Linked DNA regions of Mus musculus. The main gene of each other region encodes a partner of the protein of the gene in region 2 in a complex. Links are inferred from orthologs where the notes say so. Each region holds a gene or a part of one and is shown on either strand. Other genes may lie near its edges. The genes, in order: Aim2, Mefv and Ripk3.

Region 1 (3,650 bases), on a different chromosome or scaffold from region 2:
AAGAATGATATCTCAAACCTTAGACAAAGCAACAATTTTATTAGATATTTTCTTCATTTACATTTCAAATGCTATCCCGAAAGTCCCCTATAACACCCCCCACACACACTCCCCAACCCACCCACATCCACTCCTGCTGCCTGGCCCTGGCATTCCCCTGTACTGGGGCATATGATCTTTGCAAGACCAAGGGCCTCTCCTCCCATTGATGACCGGCCAGGCCATCTTCTGCTACATATGCAACTGGAGACACAGTTCTGGGGGGTACTGGTTAGTTCATGTTGTTGTTCCTCCTATAGCGTTGCAGACCACTTGCTGCTTGGGTACTTTCTCTAGCTCCTTTATTAGGGGCCCTGTGTTCCATCCAATAGATGACTGTGAGCATCTGCTTCTGTACTTGTCAGTCACTGGCAGAGCCTCACAAGAGAGAGCTATATCAGGATCCTGTCAGCAAAATCTTGCTGGCATATGCAATAGTGTCTGGGTTTGGTGGTTGTATATAGGATGGATCCCCAGGTTGGGCAGTCTTAATAACTTAATTAATAATAAGTTTACATATATTTTTCAGATGTTTTTTGAGTATTTGTCCTTTTCTAAGTAATACAATATGATGATGAGGTTGTAAAATGCTATCCTCAGGTAGTTCAGTCTAGTTCAAGGAGCAGCATCAGGATTCTTCAGGAAAAGGTTTTTCAAATGAGGTGACTTCACTCCACACTTTTCATGTCAGTTTTTGGCTTTGCAGCCTTAATAACCTGGGTAGGAAAGGAAGATGAAGACTGAAATATTGTTGATTAATTAATTCTCCTCTACTTTCACTTACTGTGTTCTCCTGAAAATTCCTTTCTTCTCATCAAATCTCCTCACCTAACACATATTTCCTCTTAATTCTGTCACTCTTGGACAACTCTCCTGAACTATATCTGCCCTGAACACACACACACTCCTACACAAGAAGGACAAATATGAAGACTTCTCAGGTCCCCATCTAATAACTCTATATATACAGTTGAGTGGTGAGGAAGAGAGGAAAGCAGAATCAGTGGGATCATCAGCACGGGGATGTGATAGCTGACTTAACTGCTTTGGACTATGACAGATGTGAAGATGATTGCCCTGGCTCAGATGTTTGTTGTCAGGGTGTTATAGTCTGACTTGACTTTTAACTGCATTTGCCAGAATGATGTGTGCAACTTTGAGAAAGCTGCCTTCATTAGATTTAGACTGTATTCAATAAATTCATTGTGGAAAGTTCTTTGAGAGGAGGAGGAGGAGGAGAAGGAAGAAGAAGAAGAAGAAGAAGAAGAAGAAGAAGAAGAAGAAGAAGAAGAAGAAGAAGAAGAAGAAGAAGAAGAAGAAGAAGAAGAAGAAGAAGAAGAAGAAGAAGAAAAGAAGGAGAGTGAGATTTTGTGTGTGCATGTGTGTATGTGTTTGTGTGTGTGTGTGTGTATGTGTGTGTGTGTATGTGTATGTGTGTGTACATGCACACGCATATGTGTGTTTTCCTTGGGAAATCCACAGCTTTGAATTGTGTATCTGGGTTATGTATTTTTGAATGACAGGCTTCTCAGGTCTGTGAGATGCAAAGGCATACATATTAAGCTCTTCTCTGCCATCCTGTTCATTGGATTTCCAATAGAAAACACAAAACAACATCCTCTTCTGAGAATTTCCATACCTTAAAAAAGCTACAAGGTCCAGATTTCAACTGAATTTTCACTCCATTTTTTGACACCTCAAAGAACGTGAGTCTAATCTTGTCTCCTTCCTCGCACTTTGTTTTGCTTGGGTTTCCCAGCACCAACACCTCCATTGTCCCTGTTTTATCATGTATACCATACAGTACTCTATCTTTTTCCTCTGTTATCTGTGAAAGGAAAATATGAGTCAAGTCCTGCTAGATGACTAAGAAAGAGCAGCATATCAATCAGTTATCAGACAAGCTAGGAGCAGCTTTCCAAAATAATATAATAAATAATTCCAAACTTCTACCCAACAGATTCTAGCAAATCTCAGTGGAAGGGGTAGGAGGATTATATTAAAAGCATGTTGCCTCTTGTGTCCATCTTCCTAGTCCCAAGGTTTTTTTCTTTTGGGAGGCCAGAATAACTCACAGAAACAACGGGTAGACAGGGAAGGTGGGGCTTCTCCAGGGCCAGCATGCAGGGGGCAGTCATGGGAAAGGAGCACCTCCTGGTTAGGAGGAGAGTCACTTAAGGAAACAAGTAACAGAAACCCATGAACCAAAAATAAAAGACCTAGTGAAGAAATTTAAAAGTAAAAAGTCAACCATGAATGAAATATCATTCACAGTCAAGTCCAGATTAGAAGGAGACCAGATTCTAGTCAGGGATGTAAAATATCAATATTTCAATGTTAGTTTTATTCACTAAATGAGAAAACATTAGTGGGTAATTGATCAAACGGAAGGCTCAGAACTGAGAGGGGATGAGTGTTTTTTATGCTTTAATTTTCCAAGGAAGACATTTCCCTCCTGCCTCCTTTCTGAAAAGACGAGAGAGGCCATCCTGGCTACAAGTTCAGAAATCAACACGTTTCCTGTGGTTCTTCAGGGTCGCTCTTAGGCCAGAAAACTGTTCGTACAAGACTAATATATATTTTTTTTTAACCTGATTTCTGGTTTGAATGAAAATGGTCCCCACAGGATCACAGGGAGTGGCAGTATGCAAAAGGATTAAGATATGTGGCCTCTTGTTGAAGTAGGAGTGGCTTTGTTGGAGGAAATGTCATTGGGGGTGGGCCTTGATGTTTTAGAAGCTCAAGTCAGGCTCTCTCTCTCTCTCTCTCTCCCTCTCCTCTGTCTCTCTCTCTCTCTCTCTGTCTTCAAACCATACCTGTACATCAGTCCTCTGCAGAGTGCTCAACCCAACAGTGACTTTGAATATGGCTAGTATCTAAGTGCATAAAAGCAACACAGAGGTGAAGATGCCTGTGTCTATGCTTCAGAAGCTACAAGGCGGAAAAAAAAAAAGAAATTTCAAAATCAGAGTTTCAAAATCAAACCTTCCTTCGCTGTGTGTGGTGACATGCACTTGGATCCCAGCACTCAAGAGGTAGGGGCAGCGAATATCAGTGCATGCCACATAAGACAAAGCCACACAGTAAGACCCTGTCTCAAACAGCAAAACAATCAAAAATACAAAATAAAACTTGGTGAGCTTTGTCTTGGTAAATTATCATCCTACAAATCCTGAACTCTGTAAAATTCTTTTTTAATTGTTAAAATGATTTAAAATCAATTTTTAAATTTATTTTAATTGTTTCAGATTTAATAGAGTAAAAAACATTGAAATGTATTTTCTAAAGTCCCATTAAGGCTTAGAATAGGTGTTATATTTTATATTATTCTTACTGATCAATATAAAATTGCGTATAGGAACTTACCTTCTGGACTTTAAACAGCCCATTCACAATTGTTCCACATGGCTGAATCTTCAGTTTACTAATCCTGGGAGTTTCCCTGGCTCTCTTAACAACGTTATTTGGGACTTCGTGGTTAGATTCAACATCAACCACAACTGAGGAACTGGTGACCTCCATGAAGTTACTGTGCCAAAGGTAGTTTGATATTTTAATTGTCCTCTTTGGGATAAATTTATCTTTAAACTGTGCGTTTAAAACTTTTACAA
Region 2 (3,750 bases):
GAAATCCACCTGCCTCTGTCTCTCAAGTGCTGGTTGTAAAGGTGTGTGCCTCCAGCACCACCTGGATTCAGTCACATTTATTGTACATGCCAAAGTCACCTGCTTAGGATGGTATCACCCCCAGTGGGCTTGGCACTCCTCTATTGGATATCAATCAGGAAAAAGCCCCACATACATGCCTACAGGCCATTCTGATGGAGGCATTTTTTCAATTGAGGTTCCCTCTTCCCAAGCATGTCAGATTGACAATCAATGTCAGCCTTCACAGATATCTAGGGTATTTAGAATGATAGATAATAATGCTTTTTATTTATTCTCCAATGGTTAAGACAAAAGTAAAGGAGGCCACAGAAAATTTAACCCAGAAGCAGTTAGTGGACCTAGGAAGCCAGGGCCAAGTTGGCTGTGGGAATAGATGCATGAGAATGCTGGCAACAAAGGTGGTCCGCAGGTCCCGTGTGAACACTTTACGTTGCTGGATAGACTAGACATGGACCAGACAGACTGGACATGCATTGCAGTACCTTTCTGGCTTCTGCTTTCTTGAGAAGGCCCAGGCAAAGCCTATAGGGATTATTTGCTGTTTGTTCCTTCCCCTGCCATTGGCCCTGGAGGTCTATAAACCTCAAGAGTCCAAAGAGAGCAGTTGGCCAGAGGGGACCAACTCCACGTAAGATCATCTCCCTCTTCCACAGCCTAGGGTCCTGAGAGCAAGCAAGAGCTCAGGAGCAGCTGGAAGGTCTGGCTGTCAATCCCAGAGCTACCCTTAGAGTCTGGCCTGCCTGTTGTTTAATCAGGACATAGGCTGGCAAGGTGGAGACCTCCCCACTGGAAAAGACTCTGAATCCTCAAAGAAAGTATGCAGCAGGCTAGACCCTGGACACGCCCTCATTTTTACTCTCAGTTCCCACCAAAGCTGATGTGCTTCCTGCGCCTTGTCCGTTATTTCACAAGCTATTTCTTGCTTGTTCTCAAGTTGCACGAGAGAGGTCATTATCGTTTGCCAGAAGCCACATAGCTGGCTGCAGTCCCTCCTGGCCCGCACCATGGCCAAGACCCTTGGTGATCATCTGCTAAACACCCTGGAGGAGCTGCTGCCCTATGACTTTGAGAAGTTCAAGTTTAAGCTACAGAACACCAGCCTGGAGAAGGGCCACTCTAAGATCCCCCGGGGCCATATGCAGATGGCCAGGCCAGTAAAGCTGGCCAGCCTTCTGATAACCTACTACGGGGAGGAGTATGCTGTAAGGCTGACCCTGCAGATCCTGCGGGCCACCAACCAGCGCCAACTAGCAGAGGAGCTTCGCAAAGCCACAGGCACAGGTAAGTTGCCAAGCCTCTTCCCAGTGGGGATGGATGCTAGCTACTGGTGGTGGATGAGAGGAATGCTCAGACACTAGCTAAGGGTTAGAAAGCCCCTGTCCACTTCAGTCCGAGTAGTGTGAATCTAGCATGCCTCATCCTTCTCTCTGGCCCTTGTAACCTGTTTAGTGAAGCTCCCAGGCTCCCCCCCCACCCCCCAAGACATTAATAATAAAAACTGATATTTCAGCTGTGGGTGAGACTCAGGACAGGTGGATCATGAATGGAGCAAAACCTAGAGAAGTCTTTACTCCATGTTTTCAAGTAATAAGCAAGCCCAGACTATCATCAGGTTAGCAGAAAAGGCTTGAAATTCAACCATACTCACATGTCTGAGAATCTCATTAACCACCCAATTTCAATTGGAGTTCTTCCTTGGGATACTTTACAAGGGTATTTAAACATTCTTTGCTTTTAATGAAAGGTTTCTTCAAATGAAAACCTAAGTTGTTAATCATGGGTTATCTTCATTATGTAGACTTTGAAATTAAACCTTATCTGTCAATATCCTGAAATTGCAGGCAAGTTTGCTTGCTGTTTTTGTTTTTGTTATTTTTTTGGCTTTGATTTCTAGACAGGGCCTCACTATATAGACTACACTTGCTTCAAACTCTAGAGATGCTCCTGCCTCTGTGTCTGAGGTTAGAAACTACACCACCATACCTGTTCCAACGAGTTTCCTTTCTTTTTAAAAATTAATTAATTCATTTAAAGATTTATTTATTTATTTTATGTATATGAGTACAGCATTGCTCTCTTCAGACACACCAGAAGACGGCATCAGATCTCATTACAGATGGTTGTGGGTCACCAACCATGTGGTTGCTGAGAATTGAACTCAGCACCTCTGGAAGAGCAGTCAGTGCTCCATCTCTCCAGTTCCCTCAACTTGTTTTCAAACACCATCTACGTTTACATTTATGACTTGAGGTTTTCTTCAGTTTGTGCCATGATTGAAAATGATTCATTTCTATATGTTCCTTTTTAAATTAAATTTATGTGTGTGGGTGTTTTGTCTGGATATGTGTGTGTACCACTTGCAATCTTGATGTCCACAAAAGCCAGAAGAGGGAATCAGATTCCCTGGATTTGGAGTTACAGATGGTTGTGAGCTACTGTGTGGATTCTGGGAACTGAATCTGGGGGCTGTAGAAGAGCACCCCAATGCTTTGAACTGCTGAGCCACCTCTCTGTCTCTCCAGGCTCCTATTTTAATTTTACTTTGCTTATGTATTTTGTGTCTGTCTGCATATGTAAGTGAGTGTTAGTGTGCTCTGGCATAAAGGTCAGAGGACAACTTGAAGGAATTGATTCGTTCCTCTGTGGTTCTGGAGGCTGAGCTTGTTGGCAAGTGCCTTTACTTACTGAGCTGGTTGCTTTCATCCCTTCCTATTTGCTTTGCTTTATAAGTCAAATGTCACAGGTACAGTCATGCATGCATCTATAACAGTAACCCAGTTTTTATTTACTATGTATTTTATGGTTCTGTGTAATGGACATCTGTTGTCTAGAATGTTCAGTTCTTTGCTTTTATTAACTTCTAAGGAGTTTCTCCCTTCCTCCAACCCCAGCCTTGAATATAGCACAGCTTCATGACTGTATCTTATTGTCTTTCTAGAACATTTAATTGAAGAAAATAGAGTTGGTGGTTCTGTCCAGTCTTCTGTAGAGAATAAAGCCAAGAGTGTGAAGGTACCAGATGTCCCTGAAGGTGATGGGACACAGCAAAACAATGATGAATCAGACACCCTTCCATCCAGCCAGGCTGAAGTGGGGAAGGGACCCCAGAAGAAGTCACTGACCAAAAGGAAGGATCAGAGGGGCCCCGAGAGCCTGGACTCACAGACCAAGCCATGGACAAGGAGCACAGCGCCTCTCTATAGGAGAACCCAGGGCACCCAGTCCCCAGGGGATAAGGAGAGCACAGCAAGTGCCCAGCTCCGCAGGAATGTCAGCTCTGCAGGGAGGCTTCAAGGACTTTACAACAATGCCCCAGGGAGGAGAGAAAGCAAGAAAGCCGAAGTGTATGTATATTTGCCTTCAGGAAAGAAGCGACCCAGGAGTCTTGAAATTACCACTTATTCAAGAGAAGGAGAACCCCCAAATTCAGAAGTTCTTCCAACTCAAGAGGAAACAAGAAATGGGAGTCTCATTCGCATGAGAACAGCTACTCTGAATGGAAGGACTACGGGGGCTTTAGAAAAGGGCACAGGGATTCCAGAGCATTCCATGGTGCTGGATGAAAAAACATTCAGAAACATGTCTTCCAAAACATCGTTGATTGGGGAGGAGAGATGCCCTACATCATGGACGGAAAATGGAAATGGGAGTCCAGAAACCACAGAGTCCTCGGGAGAGACGGCTGGCAGCATACTCTCTGATCCAGAA
Region 3 (3,750 bases), on a different chromosome or scaffold from region 2:
CATGCAAGCATGAGGACCTGAACTCATATTCCCACAACTAAAGTGACATTGGGGACAGTAGCCCATGTATACCATGCCAGTGTTCCTACAGCAAGATGAGAGACAGGAGAATACTGGGACATTAACAGGCTAACACATAGCATTATGCACACAGCAGAGAACAAACTGACCCTATCTCAAACAAGGTCGAACACCTACACACACACACACACACACACACACACACACACACCATGACATGCACCCCTTCACCACATGCATGGTCATGCACACACATAAATAAATTTTAAGATAAATAAGAAAGCCAAGCATGGTGGCGTACACCTTTAATCCCAGCATTTAGTCAGGAGGCAGATGCAGATGGCTCTCTGTGAGTTTGAGTCAACCTGGTCTGTATACTCGAGTCCCAGATCAACCAGGGCTCCAAAAAGAGACCCTGTCTCAAAAGTAAGTAAGTAAGTAAGTAAGTAAGTAAGTAAGTAAATAAATAAATAAATAAATAAATAAAATAAGGGCTACCTTGGTGGAGCAGAACTCGGTTCTAAACTAGTCCCATACTTACTTGGCCAAGCGATTTAAACTTTAAGTACTTGGGTTTCCTCCTCTATAGAAAAGAAAACACGGTTGATCTAAGAAGCCAGTATGTGTACCTGGCCCAAGACAACCCTTACTAGAAGCGTTACTCCGTGATCTTAGGACCATAAAATCCTCCTGATCTCCATCCTCCCTTCATCAAAATGTGGTTGGCAAGCGGTGGAGCTAAGGGGTCCAAGAGAGACTGGCTATCGTGGGGAGTCAATCGTTCCTGGATGGTGAGGACACCTTTTGTGGCACGCCCAGTGCCTGGGCGCTTCTCGGGTGGAAGCAGTTTCAAGGCACGTGCACAGGAAATAGCCCCAAAGTTTTCAATGCTCCACCCCAGGGGGCGGAGATAGAAGGAGCCTCTTATTTGAAAGGGAAGTTGTGAAGTCGCTCATTCAAAGTCCGGGGGAGCGACCTGGGAAGCGGAATTCGGGGCCTGAACCTCCGTGCCTTGACCTACTGATTGTTCCCTTTGCAGACCCTGCCTTCCTCTCAGTCCACACTCCGAGCCGTAGACGTCGGGTTTCCAGCTCCGTCTGTGCACACATAACTCCAGGAAGCCGCTAGCTCCCGACGATGTCTTCTGTCAAGTTATGGTGAGTGGGGAGTGAGCTGTGTCTCCGGCACACCCACACAGGTGGCCCGGGGACACACTCAAAGGACGCCTTTTCTGAGGCAGGGGACAAAGCTGGGGGTGAGGCGGGCAGCAGTGGGGAGGCTAGACTCGCTGCCTACGCTGCCCACGCGCAGTCACGGAATCCCGGAGCTTGGGAGACAGAGGATGCGCTAGGCTGGGGGATGGGCCCCCTACCGGACAAGAACCTTTCTCAGGCCTACTGGTGCGTCAGCGGTTCCTCTGGTGAGCCGTGAAGAACTGAAGAAGCTGGAGTTTGTGGGTAAAGGAGGGTTCGGAGTCGTGTTCCGGGCACACCACAGAACATGGAACCATGATGTAGCAGTCAAGATCGTGAACTCGTGAGTGACCCCAGCTGTAGTCAGAGTGTGGTCACGAGCCTGAGTGGGGCAAGGGTGGGGTCTTCCAGAGCGCAATCCAATTTTGGCCCCCTTTCGGCGTGTAGGAAGAAGATATCCTGGGAGGTGAAGGCTATGGTTAATCTTCGTAATGAGAACGTTCTGCTCCTGCTGGGGGTCACTGAGGACCTCCAGTGGGACTTCGTGTCCGGGCAGGCTCTGGTGACAAGATTCATGGAGAATGGCTCCCTCGCAGGGCTGCTGCAACCCGAGTGCCCTCGGCCCTGGCCACTCCTCTGTCGCCTGCTGCAGGAAGTGGTGCTGGGGATGTGCTACCTACACAGCTTGAACCCTCCGCTCCTGCACCGGGACCTCAAGCCCTCTAACATTCTGCTGGATCCAGAGCTCCACGCCAAGGTTAGTCCATCTACAACCTAGTGTAGACTTGGGACCATGTTGAGTACCTGTCCCTCTGAATACAAGACTACACACATGACAAGACCCAACTAGGAGTTTTATTTCTAGTCATACCAGGTGACCCTCCTTACCAGACGCCCTTCTTAACCCCCTGGCTCAGTTCCACAGGCCTAATGCACCCTCACGGACCCAGGCTGACTTATCTCAGGCCTGCCCATCAGCAACTCAGATCTCCTGCTAAGTTCTCAATGACTTTACCTTCCCTCTGGTCCTCCATAACACCTTCCAAAAAGCTGAGGCTGCTGCATCTTCTGGGGAGCAAGAGAGGGAAAAATCTCTGACCCCCCCCTTCATCTAATACCTTCCCTTTCCTTTCCTTTACAGCTAGCAGATTTTGGCCTGTCCACGTTTCAGGGAGGGTCCCAGTCAGGGTCAGGATCAGGATCAGGATCCAGGGACTCTGGGGGCACCCTAGCGTACTTGGACCCAGAGCTGTTATTTGATGTCAACCTGAAGGCTTCTAAAGCGAGTGATGTCTACAGGTAAACCATCCACCCCAAACACACTCCAAATCTCTATACCAATTTGGGCCCTTCTAAAGGGAATGATACAGGAAAGAAGTCTCGCCAGAGGCCATCTAAGCCTCCATTTGTGTCTGTACAGCTTTGGGATCCTCGTGTGGGCAGTGCTGGCTGGCAGAGAAGCTGAGTGTAAGACTCCAAATGGAGTACCCGAAAGCACCTAAACCCCCCTGGAGCCCTCCCTTTTACCCTGACCCACTAACACACTGCCCTCTTCCCACCTCACCTCTCACTTGGATGACTCTCCCTGCTCCTGTCCGCGATAGAATGGGCTGTCCCCTCATTTCATGAATTCCTTATGTTATCCCCCAACTCCAGTGGTAGACAAGACTTCACTAATCCGGGAAACAGTGTGTGACAGGCAGAGTCGTCCTCCACTGACAGAGCTGCCTCCAGGTAGCCCTGAGACTCCCGGCTTGGAAAAACTGAAGGAGTTAATGATTCATTGCTGGGGTTCCCAGTCCGAAAACAGGCCATCCTTCCAGGGTGAGTTGGCCGTATCTCTGGCAACTAGGGTAGGCTTGGGTCTTCAGCAGGGAGCTCCTCCAAGGAAAGAAATCCGACTCATATACAACTCGCTGTTGTCTTTCAGACTGCGAACCAAAAACCAATGAAGTTTACAATCTGGTAAAGGACAAGGTAGATGCTGCTGTCTCCGAGGTGAGTTTCTAGCACTGCCTTCCCATCCAGGAACTGTTGGGAGATGGCACAAGTGGCTCCCTTAACCATTCAGTTTATCTTCACTGGCCACCATTATTTAATCCTTGGTTGTCATTCCCATTCACCAGAACCTACTCCTTAGTCTCCAGAGACCAAGAAAATTTTCACTGGGGTTTACTTTGGCTGCCCCAGCTCCTGACAACAAGGTCCCCCTGTCTGCACAGGTAAAGCATTATCTGTCTCAGCACAGAAGCAGCGGCAGAAACTTGTCTGCCAGAGAGCCAAGCCAAAGAGGCACAGAAATGGATTGCCCGAGGGAAACCATGGTTTCTAAAATGCTGGACCGCCTGCATTTGGAGGAACCCTCCGGACCAGTTCCTGGAAAATGTCCTGAGAGGCAAGCACAGGACACATCAGTTGGGCCTGCCACACCAGCAAGGACATCTTCTGACCCCGTGGCTGGCACTCCTCAGATTCCACATACTTTACCCTTCAGAGGCACAACACCTGGGCCAGTCTTTACTGAGACTCCCGGTCC

What was found.
Region 1: Mefv (region 2) and Aim2 share a complex: the UniProt entries of both Homo sapiens proteins name them as parts of the AIM2 PANoptosome complex. The link is inferred for Mus musculus from reciprocal best matches to the Homo sapiens genes MEFV and AIM2.
Region 3: Mefv (region 2) and Ripk3 share a complex: the UniProt entries of both Homo sapiens proteins name them as parts of the AIM2 PANoptosome complex. The link is inferred for Mus musculus from reciprocal best matches to the Homo sapiens genes MEFV and RIPK3.

What each region holds. Positions count from the first base shown.
Region 1 is NC_000067.6:173,462,076-173,465,725, reverse strand, and holds part of Aim2 (interferon-inducible protein AIM2), read right to left. Parts: coding exon 3,406-3,650; intron 2,971-3,405; coding exon of another isoform or gene 2,863-2,970; exon of another isoform or gene 1,874-2,862; intron 1,868-1,873; coding exon 1,679-1,867; intron 756-1,678; coding exon 708-755; 3' UTR 1-707. UniProt on the Homo sapiens protein: Sensor component of the AIM2 inflammasome, which mediates inflammasome activation in response to the presence of double-stranded DNA (dsDNA) in the cytosol, leading to subsequent pyroptosis.
Region 2 is NC_000082.6:3,715,359-3,719,108, reverse strand, and holds the start of Mefv (pyrin), read left to right. Parts: upstream 1-984; 5' UTR 985-1,046; coding exon 1,047-1,323; intron 1,324-2,980; coding exon 2,981-3,750. UniProt on the Homo sapiens protein: Involved in the regulation of innate immunity and the inflammatory response in response to IFNG/IFN-gamma.
Region 3 is NC_000080.6:55,786,045-55,789,794, reverse strand, and holds the start of Ripk3 (receptor-interacting serine/threonine-protein kinase 3), read left to right. Parts: upstream 1-937; 5' UTR 938-1,158; coding exon 1,159-1,178; intron 1,179-1,332; exon of another isoform or gene 1,333-1,413; coding exon 1,414-1,557; intron 1,558-1,661; coding exon 1,662-1,971; intron 1,972-2,355; coding exon 2,356-2,513; intron 2,514-2,634; coding exon 2,635-2,681; intron 2,682-2,778; exon of another isoform or gene 2,779-2,870; coding exon 2,871-3,038; exon of another isoform or gene 3,039-3,144; coding exon 3,145-3,212; intron 3,213-3,436; coding exon 3,437-3,750. UniProt on the Homo sapiens protein: Serine/threonine-protein kinase that activates necroptosis and apoptosis, two parallel forms of cell death. Necroptosis, a programmed cell death process in response to death-inducing TNF-alpha family members, is triggered by RIPK3 following activation by ZBP1.